Linked DNA regions of Oryctolagus cuniculus. The protein of the gene in region 3 purifies or fractionates together with the protein of the main gene of each other region. This does not show direct contact. Links are inferred from orthologs where the notes say so. Each region holds a gene or a part of one and is shown on either strand. Other genes may lie near its edges.

The links.
Region 1: the proteins of WDR62 (region 3) and CEP170 purify together in Homo sapiens (affinity purification with mass spectrometry; 3 studies listed by BioGRID and IntAct, with this or other methods). This does not show direct contact. The link is inferred for Oryctolagus cuniculus from reciprocal best matches to the Homo sapiens genes WDR62 and CEP170.
Region 2: the proteins of WDR62 (region 3) and MAPK8 purify together in Homo sapiens (affinity purification with mass spectrometry; 5 studies listed by BioGRID and IntAct, counting the BioPlex papers as one, with this or other methods). This does not show direct contact. The link is inferred for Oryctolagus cuniculus from reciprocal best matches to the Homo sapiens genes WDR62 and MAPK8.

Annotation. Positions count from the first base shown.
Region 1 is NC_091444.1:63,281,701-63,285,954, forward strand, and holds the start of CEP170 (centrosomal protein of 170 kDa), read right to left. Parts: upstream 2,828-4,254; 5' UTR 2,687-2,827; intron 2,139-2,686; exon of another isoform or gene 1,815-2,138; intron 1-1,814. Other genes in the region: SDCCAG8 (serologically defined colon cancer antigen 8), read left to right, coding at 3,637-3,877.
Region 2 is NC_091446.1:81,312,094-81,316,214, forward strand, and holds the start of MAPK8 (mitogen-activated protein kinase 8), read left to right. Parts: upstream 1-1,234; 5' UTR 1,235-1,435; intron 1,436-4,121. UniProt on the Homo sapiens protein: Serine/threonine-protein kinase involved in various processes such as cell proliferation, differentiation, migration, transformation and programmed cell death.
Region 3 is NC_091449.1:19,661,730-19,665,345, reverse strand, and holds part of WDR62 (WD repeat-containing protein 62), read right to left. Parts: coding exon 3,559-3,616; intron 1,869-3,558; coding exon 1,801-1,868; intron 1,725-1,800; coding exon 1,603-1,724; intron 893-1,602; coding exon 817-892; intron 129-816; coding exon 17-128; intron 1-16. UniProt on the Homo sapiens protein: Required for cerebral cortical development. Plays a role in neuronal proliferation and migration.

The DNA.
Region 1 (4,254 bases), on a different chromosome or scaffold from region 3:
ATGAAACATCACAGTTTCGGTTGGATATTTACTACACTAGCACACTATTTAACCCCAAGATGTTTAAGATACAGAAGAAAAAATCATTACATATTGATTAAAATAGTATGAAGTATTTTTCAGGAACAGATTTCTGTTGAATAAAAAACATGTTCACAAAACCTTAAATACATACAGTATTTGGTAATGAACATTAATTATTATCAAATATAACAATAAAACTTTTTTCCGGTAGGTAAAAGGAACATGAAACTGATGCTTAGAACAAATGAAACAAATCACCAAGTACAGAGTTTCAAAAAGCACCTTAATACATACATACATACATACATACACACACACACGCACACACACACAGTGTATGCTTATGTTTACAGATAAATAGGACAGGAAACATGCAGATTATTTCCATACAAAATAATTTTGGAACACCATGAAATTTACCAGCAAAATGCATTTAAAGTTTCAATATGATTCCCCATACTGAACTTAATGACAGAGGCTTCTTAAATTGAAATTAAAGTGAAATAAATTCTAAAGAAAATATCTATTAAAATGCAATGCAGAATTAAAGAACTGAAATTATGAGTTGACATAAATAAAACCCCCTTTTTTTTTATAAAGTCGACCCAATTAAAAACAGAAAGATGACATTTCTCAAAGGGAAACTCTAAGTTGAAAACAATAAAATTCATTAATCATAGAAAAATAAGCTTCATAGCTTTTTAGTATGGAGAAATATTATTTTTAACAGTTCACAGTTGAACATAATATTATAAAATACTATTAAATTTCAAGAAATAATATTAAAATATGGTTACTAATAAGTAGAAGTGAAAACATTCCAACAGTTTGTTTTCATGAAAAGAACTGTTAGGGTATCTTCCCTTATTAGTAAGTTACTTTGTAAAGCTAAAATTCAGTTTCAGTAGAATTACTACTTCTACATCACAAAAAGAAGGACTAGATTAATACAAGTGAGAGAATTAAGTTTACTGTTACACACAAATTAAAAAGTACAGAAGCTTTCCATAAATGTTCACAGGGTGGAAGGTGAGGGCACACAGTAAAGATCACTCTGTAGAACAGACCTTGGTTTTATTTGACTGTGCTTTCTGTTAGCACATTGGCTTGGGCAGACAAATCAGTGAGTTTTAGTTTTTTTCAAGCGACTGTTCCGTTTAAAAAAAAAAAAAAGCAAAATTCTACAGTATCTATGAAGTTAGGAAGAACTAAGAACAGTGCTGGTTTTCACTTTTCAAAAAAATAATGGCAGAAAACTACAAAACAATTTGATAGCTGAATTTCTTCCTGGCTTTGAAGTTTACCCAATTAGGGTTGTATCAGTAAAGATCTAGAAACTGTATTTATAATATAACTCACACTACTCCTCCATCTTCTCCCCCAGCCTACTTCATTCTTTCTTGGGCTTATTTTACACAGAGACGCCAGCAAATGGTTACAAGCATTACAATCCTAACAAGCAAATCATTTTAAAAGACGCATTTTCAATCGCATGGATCATCCACTTCACCAAATTCCTCCCAAACGGCTGAATTTTCATGAAGAGAATAAAAATGAGCAAACAGCTTCAGAAACAAATACACCAATCCTTATTTTTGTTTGGATTGCTTTAAAACATAAAAGGGAAAGACGTAGCTTCATCTATTCCCTTAGGACCCATGCATGCGTTACCCACCCAGTGGAAAAAAAAAACAATTCTCCTGGTTCATTTCCCTGCTACACACCCGCTCGGCTGTCAGGCCCCTTCTCGCCCAGCCTTCAACGTCATCTAGTAATTTTACATTGATCACCTTGACAGTGCGTGCACTCTGGCAAGCACGGTCCGTGTCTTCCCCCACATTCTTCGACAAAATAAATCAAAACTCTACCGAACGCCACAAAACAGAGATGCTGCGACTGGGGAGACGAATCCCACGTCTTCCCGCCCGGTGTTAAGACACTGCTAGTATTTCTCCCCCTCGCAGAAAATGGAAGGGAAGCGGACCCAAAACGCTGTATTTGAATCTTAGGACAATGAAGCCGACAGGAAGTCGCTCTCCCTTCCCCGGGGTTCACAATCCAGCCAGCTAGAGATGTACCCCGGGTGCAGTCGCCTGGCAGGGTGCGTGACACCGCGTCTTCCACGCCCTCCCAACGCGTGCAAAGGGCCCTCGCCTGACCTCCCCCGACTGCCTCATACCCCAAAATCCAACCACACAAAAAGACTCGGCCCTGGGAGCTGCTCCCACTGGGGAAAAAAAAAAATCCCTTCCCCAGCGGCAGCGCAGCCATTCCTTCCGATGCTCCGCCCGCACCCCTCGCAAACTGCTCCAACGATGGGGGAGGGTTGCACAAAGCCGGGAGGGAGCTGCAAGCGATTCAGTACACTTAGGGGAGGCGGAGACCGCGGCCACGGGCCCGGGAGGACCCAGACGACGGCGGAGGGTGGGGAGCGAGGACCGGAGGCCATCAAGGATGGGGGGATGGGAGGAGCGGCCCCGCCGAGCCCCAGGTCCTGGGCGATGGGGGTGGTAACGCCGCGCGGAGCATCCGGGAAGGCTCTCCCTGCACCCCCGCCACGCCAGGGGCCGCGCCCCGAGCCCCCGGCGCAAATCCGAGCAGGCTGTGGAAAAGCAGAGGCGGCGGCGGCGTCCACCCCGAGGCAGCGGAGCGCATCACTTACCCCTCACCGTGAAGAGAGAGGGACCGGACGGGGGAGGCGGGGCGCGTCGCGTCCCGTGAGTCTCTCGCACGCCGTCCTCTCCCCCACCCCGTCGTCGTCGTCGTCGTCTCCGCCGCTGCTGCCTTCGTCGCTGCAGCTGCGGTCGAGCTCCCGGCCCCTCGGTTCCGCAGGGCAATAACGTTATTCCACACACGCCCCACACATAGCGGTAACGGCAAAGAGCGGTCGCTGACTGCGCAGGCGCCTGGGGAAAGGGCGAGGTGCTGGGCCCTATCCACTCCTCCAGCCCAGTCCCAGCGATCTCTTACTGCGCAGGCGCCAGACACAGACAATGAAAGGGGGTTGTGCGGAGGGTCTCACACGCCTTGCCTGCTGCCCACTGCGCAGGCGTGTCCCCAAAGACCGGCCTGAACAATGAAGAGAACTCTGGCTCTAGCGGGGACCTGCAACCAACGAGGACTACAATTCCCGGCGGGCAGTGCGCCAACTGCAAGAGGAGGTCGGGTTGCTTGGCATGCTAGGAGTTGTAGTGTTGGCCGCCTTTACAAGCCAGGCTGTTTGGGAGAGTTAGAGTTTCTTATTTCTTAAGAATTGGACCGTTTTGACAAATGTCGCGACCGAAGGAGGGTTCAGAGATTATTCGCTTCCCAGAGAAGCCTGAAGGATCAATTGCATATTAGTAAAGATCGAAGCGTCCGGGCCTTCAGAAAGTCCTTTCTGTCAGCCGGGTGGTCCGGACTGCTGCAGGACAGGGTGAAGGCGGGACTAGCCAGGCTGGCTTAGAGGAAAAGGGAGGAGCCCGCAAGCCGGTCTCGTGGCAACGATCTGTGGTAGCCAAACCGCCGAAGCCAACGCCAGGAGCGCAGTGCCCTCTGGGAAATGTAGTGCAGCTGGAAGGTTCTTAGGATTCTCGAGGCTGTAGAGCCAGAGCCTTAGAACTACAACTCCCAATGTCCATCACGAGGGCTCGAGGGTGGGAAGAGACCCCACGAGCTGCGTCCGTGGTTCCAGGCTCCCCAGTGACAGTTGCGGCAGGAGGCGGGCGGGCGCTAGGGCTGTTGTTGGAAGGGAGAACACTGGACGATAACCCACGTAACTCGCATCTCTTGGCCCAGAGTCTGTGCATGGCGAAGTCCCCAGGGAACTCTTCCCTGGAGGAGATTCTGGGGAAGTATCAACGGAGTCTCCGGGGTGAGTTGCTCCGAACCTCTGTGCCTAGGCCCTAGGTATCCAGGGCCTACTAGGCGGGAGCAGACCAGGTGCCTTAACGGACACCTCGGTTCAGCCCAGCCAGGCTGCAGAGGAAGAAGATGGATGTTACTGGTCTTTGACGAGGATGAACTAGTTTGCTGCTGTTTTTATGATTAAGCAGAGTTGTTGTCTTTTTTTTTTTTTTTTAAAGATTATTTATTTGAAAGTCAGAATTACACAGAGAGAGGAGAGGCAGAGGTCTTCCATCCGGTCGTTCCCTCCCCAATTGGCCGCAACAGCCTGTGCCAATACGAAGCCAGAGCCAGGAGCTTGTTCTGGGTCTCTCAGATAGGTGCAGGGGCCCAAGGACTTGGGCC
Region 2 (4,121 bases), on a different chromosome or scaffold from region 3:
TCATTCTGACTATGCCACTCCCCCCAACCACCCCCACCCCCACTGCAGAACCTGTCAGAAAGAAAGACCTTCAGCAGGGCCAGTATGGCTGTACTAGGCGTGGGGTTTGTTATACCCACAGTATAACAAAGACCCAAATCACCCTTCACTCTGTCTAATGATGAACAGATGTTAAAATAATCTGGCACATTTCTCTTTTTAAAAAATTTACTTATTTATTTGAAAGGCAGAGTTACAGGGAGAGAGAGAGAGATCCATCTGCTGGTTCACTCCCCAGATGGTCGCAATGGCTGGAGGTGGAGCTGTGCCAGTCCGGACCTAGGGATCCGGAGCTTCTTCTGGGTCTCCCATGTGCATGCAGGGGCCCAAGCACTTGGGCCATCCTCTGCTGCTTTCCCAGGCCATTAGCAGGGAGCTGGATGCGAAGTGGAGCAGCCAGGACTCGGACAGGAGCTCATATGGGATGCCCGCATCGCAGGCAGCAGCTTTACCGCCTAAGCCACCGCGCCGGCCCCTGGCACATTTCTTTCCAGTTTTTTCCCCCTAGGTACTAGGCAGTACTGACACGGATCACTCCGTGTATGTGGGTGTCCTTGTTGCTTCTTTGTCTTTCCCAATTTGGTAACACTTCCTCGAACACATTCCTAAAACGTGCTCTATAGCACGCCTGACAGTAACGCAGGTGCCTTCCTCCTGTTGTTGGGTCTTTAAGGACCTGTCAATTTCTCTGAGGAGCTTCAGCTGTAAACCCGGCAATGCAAGGAATCCGGACTAGGTGCGTTTTCAGAAAACAAACAGGAGGCTAATAAAGGCCTTGGATTTGCCTCCGGACGCCGGGCCCCAGGCGGGTGTCCTCAGTATGCAGAGTCCAGTCGGTCACGGTAACCGGCTCCGGTCTCCCAGGTGTGCGCCCAAGTGGGTGCACCTGCTCGCCGGGTTGGTATGACCTTCCACGCCCGGGGCGAGGAGCCCTGCAGGTGCAGGCGCGCATCAGCGGACCGCCGCGGGGCAGCCGCCACCCGCCCGGGCCACGCGCCGCCACGTGCCGCCACCGGGACCCCGCCCGCACCGGCCCGCGGCCACGCCCCTCGCACGCGGCTGTCGGGCGGCGCTCCGGGGGCTCCTCCTCCTGGCGACCTCCGCGGCGGGTAGCCCCGCCCCCGGGCCGCGGCCCCGCCCCCGCAATCCGGGCCCCGGGGCGCCCCGCCCCGCGGGCCGCTCGGAGGCGCGGGGGGCGGGGCTCTGCGCGATGACGTGGGCGGGCGTGCGCGGTGACGGCCCGCGCGTCCCTGTTACTCAGCGGAGCGGCCGAGGCCGGACGACGCAGCCTGGAGCGCGGAGCCGCGAGCTGCGCTGGGTAACGGCCGCGGCGACCGCCCGGACGGCGCCCGTGCCCGCCGGCGGGCTTCCCCGTCGCTGTTCGCCGCGCTGCCGGGTGAGTGTGGCGGGCGCCGCGGCTGCCGGCGGCCCCGCCGTGTTTATGTTATTGTGCGGCCGCCGCCGCCTTCTCCTCAGCCGTGAACCCCTCCCCGGGCGTGGGGGCGGGCGCGCGCGGCGGGCGGGGGCGGCGCGGGAACAATAGCGGCCCCGGAGGCGGGGGCGGCCGCGGGGGGCGTGGGGCCGCGGGCGCCGGACGCGCGCCCCGGCTCGGCGCCCCGGGTCGGCTCGGCCCGGCCCGGCCCGGCCCGGCCCGCGCGCGCGCGTCGCTGTCGTTGCACGCCCTCCTCGCGGGGGTCCCGCTTGCGCGTCGGGAGGAGAAGATGGGGGTGGGCGGCAACTTGGGAAGCACTTGGGCGAAGGGGGCCCGGGCGGCCCGCGGCGCGCAGCCGACTCCCCGGCGCCGGGGGCCGGCGCGCTGGCGACAGGGTCCGCGCGCCCGCCCCGGCGCCCACGGGGACCGTGTGTGTGTGCGCGTGTCGCTCGGCGAGGTTCCTTTGTGCGCGGGCTTCCTAGTCGAAGGCGGCCTGGGGGAGGCCAGGCCCCGCGGCCCGTGCGTGGAGGGTGCCCCTCGATCCCGGCCCCGAGCCTGCGTGGCCAGCGCGCGTGTCCCCGCTGCGGGTCACTTCGGTGGTGACCTCTGGGCTGCTTCTCCCCACCGTGCCGTCGCTTTGTCTGCGCTGGCGTTCCCGACCCCCGGCGGGTGGTGGAAGCGAGGCCGCCTTGGACACTGTGGCGTCTTCAAGTTCCCCCTCGCGTCTGTACTGTGCGTGGATCGCCGTGTTGACCGCGCGGTAGGAGACAATGTCCGGTGGTCGCTGTTTGTAGATGCGGTGGTCTTTCCGGTGGAATTCTGGTCTGTCAGCTAAGCATCCAGTGCCTGCTTGAAGCGAGAACATCCGTGTGTGTGTGTGTGTGTGTGTGTGCGCGCGCGCGTGTGTTCCATTCATTCATTCATTCATTCATTCGGCAGCTGCTCCCTACTGCGCCCACAGGGGAGAGGTTTGCATGTAAAGGGAAGACGGCCCTCAGTGGAGGAGGAAGCCTTGGTTGCAGTGTAGCAGATGTGCCTTTAAATGAGATGGTTATATAAGCGATGCGTGTGTGGAGGTAGAGTTGTGCGCTGGGTCATTTTACTAGTTTTTAACAGAATCTCTGGAAGTTCAAGTAAAATGTTATACGAGGAGATAGTTATCTTTGATCTAAATCCACAATAGTTTTTACTTTCAAAAAATTTTTTATTTTTTTTGCCCAGTCTTCGAGCCCTGTGGTCATTTGGGATGGCTACCTCAGACCCGGCCGCCGCGGTTAACGTGAAACCCAGGAGGTCCGAGGCTGTGGTGCTGAGTCTGACTAAAGCCTGGGACTTCCTGGAGAGCAGGCCTGTCTTCCATCTGTTTCTCTTTTTCTAGCCGGGGAAATAGTAAGTGCTCAATACAACTTTTATTAACGTTCATATGGTTTGCGGAAGGTTCCTGCGATTCTCTTCCACATAGCCAAACGATCGGTTTCATATAATAGGAGATGGGTTATGGGCTTTTGAGTCACTTTGGTGTCATTCCCCCCCATCCCCCCCCACCCCCCGTCACTTCTAGGCCATCCACTATCCTAAAATAAAACCTTGTCTAAGTGTTTTCTGGTGATTCATAAAGTAAGTTGGATTGTAGGGGCCAAGGCGTGTCGTGTACGTGTACACACACACAGAGTGGTATTTTAGTAGGAGGCTGAAATGATTGCGTTTATCTTCTTGTAAGTATTGAGAGGTTTTTGACTACTTCTTTCAGTAGAAAAGCTAGAAAAAAGGATATAGACTGTGTAAATGTTTTATTAGAAATATGTAACTTCTAATAGGATTTTAGAAGCATTAATTGGAAATGTTTAACTCCTTATATTAACACTTCATGACGCATGTGGGACTAAAACTCAAAATAATACCTAATTATTCAAGTTATAGCTGTTTCCCACTCACTGCTAAGTACATTTTCACATTTGTTTTGATATGAAAGAAGTTGAGGTGAACTTACTGTTTGATGTCTAGTAGAAATGAAGAAATAATAAAGTGATACTTTATTAAAATACGGAATGATAATCTTGAGATACCAAATTTTAATTGCTTTACCAAGTTAGTCAGATGTCAGGATCCAGTAGGGCTTACTGATAAAAACCCTTTGGTCAGGCAATTTAAAGAACTAGAGTTGTGGCTGCTTTTTTTTCCCTAAATTTTTTTTTAATAGCATTCTTTACATTTAATTCACATATCATAAAATTCATCCTTTTAGAGTGTTCCATTTCAGTGTTTTTTTAGTATGTTCACAAAGTTATATATTGATCACTGCTTTTAAATTCCAGAGTATTGTCATCAGCCAGGGAAGAAACCCCATGCCTATTAGCAATCACTCAGCATTTGAAAAATGTTTTAAAGGGAGAGATGGCGCTGCTTCTGTTAACTAAATCCATGCCTTTAATGACTTTGCAAAGGGCACCTTTGAGTGTCCTGGAGGAACAGGAAACTGTCCTTCATACCTCTTCACATTGGAAAAGGACTCAGAGGAAGAGTAAATTGTATCAAAATTAATTCACCTAGAATCTTCAGTATACCCTTACTTTATATTACGGAAATGACCTGTGGTGATCCACGGTGTTTAGTGAAACAACTTGAAGTAATTTGTTATTAAATGACTAGT
Region 3 (3,616 bases):
AGCCAAACACACCCACCTGAGTGACCGAACATCTTGGCAACACACTCGCCCGAGTAAAAGTCGATCACTGAGATGCTTTTGTCAGAGCAGCTTGTGGCCAGGAAGGTGCCTGAGGGGTCCACATGGACCTGCCGGGAAGAGGACCCAAGTGTCACTCAGCCCCTCGGCTTCTTCCTATTGTGAGGCCTGGGCCAGACAGCCCAGCACCCCAGAGGGGGAGGCCCAGCCCTTTGCAGGACCCCCAGCGCAGGAAATCGTGCCAGGAGTCCTCACGATGCACCCAGGCAGGGGAGGGGGCTCCTGCTCCCCACTACCACAGCATGACGGTAGCAGGGTCCCGTGCTAAGCACTGCACCTGGCCGAACTTGACCCCTTCACAGAACTGCCTAGGACAGGAGCGGTTTCTATCTGCTGTTTACAGGCAATGAAACAGGCGCCAGAGTTGACACTTGAACAGGATCACACGCAGAGTGAGGCAGAGCGGGGGCTGAGCTTGGAGCCTGAACTCGGTATTACCAACTCAGTAGGCCAGAGGCTCTGAGGCCTCCACCTTGTGTCCAGCAGGGCCAGGCCCGGAGATGAGTCCATGCCTCTCAGGTTCTTCCTCCAACTCTGTTGCCACTCAAAACAGAACCCACCCAAACGCCCCTGCCTGAGGCAGGGCTCAGTAAATAGAGGGACCACAGTCAGGGCCCCCCACGCCCCATCCCCAGCTTCCTCGGCTAACCAGGCCCAAGTGGACACTGGCAGCCTGCGATCATTTAAGCACTAAGGACACAGGGCAGGCGGCCCAGGATGGGAGTTCCCACCCCTCACCTTCAGCAGGGATCCTTCATCACCCTGGGAGCCCTTGTAGCACTTCTTCTGCTTCCCGTTCACGGTGTTGTAGACCCTGGTGGGGAGGGGGCACGATGCAGCCAACAGGGCCCTGCCCGCCCGTGCCCTCCTACCAGCTGGTCCTGGTTCCTCTGCCCTGGAATCCTGTTATCTCCTGCCCCCATCCGGGGCCTGGACAGAAGCCCTGTCTCAGGGACTGAGACCCAGCTCTGTGAGGTGAGGGAGCTTCTGTAGTGGGAGATGCACTGAGTGAACGCCTGCCTCCCTCTTGTGCCCAGTTTGAACAAGCCATGAAGCAGCAGAGAGCCCTGCATGCCTCTGCCCTCTGCCGCTTGGCCTTCCCCAGCTCGCTCCTCCACATCCCCTGGGCTCAACTACATGTCTCTCCCTCCAGAGGTCAGGGAGCTCCCCAGAGCCCTGGGACCCAGCCCTGATCACCCTGTGTTGTCACTCTCTGGACCATAAGCTCCATGAAGGAAGGCCGGGGACTATCCTGGCTATAGCTGTGACCCCAACACCGCACTGCCCAGAGAGGACTTAGGGAATGCACATGACTGAGTCACCCCACACGGGTCCCAGGAGACCAGAAGGGAACCCTCTGTGGATGTGGGAGCAAGGCCTGGGAGGGCTCAGCTTCTAAGAAACACGTGCTGGGTCCCTGCGCCCCTCCCAGCTTCTCCGGGGTCAGATGAGCAAGGGGAGGAAAGCAGACAGCCCAGGAGAAGCCCGGCTAGGTCCAGCTAAGGGCGCAGGGCAGTTCCTCACCTCACGTTGCGGTCCTGGCAGGCCACGGCCACGTACTTCTGGGTGATGTCAATGTCCATGTCATATAAGGTGGTTTTCTCTGCCACATGGTGGGTACGGACAAAGTGGAGCCCATCTGAGGCCTGGCGGGTAGGCAGGACTAAAGTGAGGACACCCAACACGCCCCCCGGCCCCCACCCTCGAGGACACGGCACCTACCTGCTGGGCACTGCGGAAGTAGATGCTCTTGTCGGCCCCACAGCTGATCATCTGGATGTCTCTGTGGCCTGGGGGAAGAGGAGGCAATGCCTCTGACATGGGAGCTGCACAGGCTGGGGGCCCTAGCTAGGGAACTCTGCTGCAAGGGCCATCAACCCGCAGGGCAGGCCTCTGCAGAACAAGATCAGAGAGGGACCCAAAGCTCGTGACACAGAGGGACACCATCTCTAGCGTGGCATTCAGACAGGGGACTCTAGCAGCAGAGGGGCGGTAAGACAGGCGGGAGGCCCACATCATCGAGAAGATCCCCACCAACTTCAGATCAGGCCCCGGGCGCCAGCCTGACCTTCCACCCTGTATACAGATCAACATGGGACAGAGTCCTGTCCTGGGGCCCACAGAGAGCCAGGACAAGCTCCGCTCTGGACCAGGCATTCTTCGCTGCCAGAGTCAAAGCCTTGACCACTGTGCTCGGAACCGGGCTTCTCTTGAGCCTCAGCTCTCTGCCTACGCTCGGCCTAATCACAGCCCTGCCCCCGAGAGCTGCACGAAGCCCTGGGGGTAGGGGCCACCATGGGGCAGACAACACAACCTCCTATTGCTCTATAGCTCTCGTTTCTTTACAGAATAAGAGTTGTGGTGGGGACGAGAACAAGAACACGAAGGAGTCTTGGTACAGCAGAAGCTGCCTTCAGCACAGCACATCCGAAAGAAGCCGGCCTGTCACACAGGAGTCGCTGGCACTCACAAGGACGTGAGCCCTGTGTCGGGGAGGCAGCATGACTTGGGAGTGACCCAGGGAGTGCCTGCACCCCATGGGTGATGTTCTGCTTAATCTGCAGTGGGTGCAGCCAATATTTAACAACATTCAAACCACAGGCAATCAGAACTGTCCCTGGCTATACACGGTGGGCGCACCTGTCCCAGTCCAGAGCTCCTGATGATGAACTTGGATGTGAACTTTCACTGTGATCCTCCGTAAATTATGCACAGATTCTGTGCTCACTTATTTCTATGGAAAGGTTGAGTGACTGAATTCCTTAGCAGGGCAGCTTCAACCAGGCTGGGACTGGCAGCACCTGGTTTCTACTGGGGAAGCCAGCTCAGCCACAGATGGACACCCAGAAGTCGGGTTTAGCTCTGCATTCTTCCAGACTGGCCAGAGGCCACTCCAGAGAGGGGCCCACAGCCCTAGGCAAGTCCCTAGGCTCCTCACCTGCTCGCGTGCGGCTGTGGCCGGAAAATGGGGCACAAAGGAAAAAACCAGGAAGAATCCGTATCTAGTCACAGAAATAGCCCCCCGCAATCCTTGTGATCACCTGTTCTCCCGCCAAGGTTACCAATGCCTATCCTATCTTCTCACAGGCTCAGCACCCCAGTCCCCTTCTGGGGACTGCCAGTCCCCTGGGTCAGGAGGTGGAAGTAGGTGGGGACAGGGGACACATGGGTCAGCTGTGGCCCAAGACAGGTCCCAAGGCCCTGGCACCAGTAACTGCTTCTGGGAAGGGCAGGTTCCTCAAGTTGGAAGAGAGGAAATTATCTTTCCAGGGGCACAAGATCCTGCTCCCAAAGACATAGCTCAGAGACAGAGACCTGATAATTAAAATATTTTTTTTCCTCCTTTGGATTCAGCTAGACGTGGGAACCCAGAGCTTTCTTCTCTCCCTTCTGTTCCATCTAATTCTAGTGGGAATTTTTGCTGTTGCAAGCAAAGGAACCCATGTAACAAAGCGCAGGGACAGGCAGGAAGGGGCTCACCAGCAAACTTAATGGCCGTGATGGAGGAGGAGTGGTCATCCAGGGTCTGCTCCAGGTT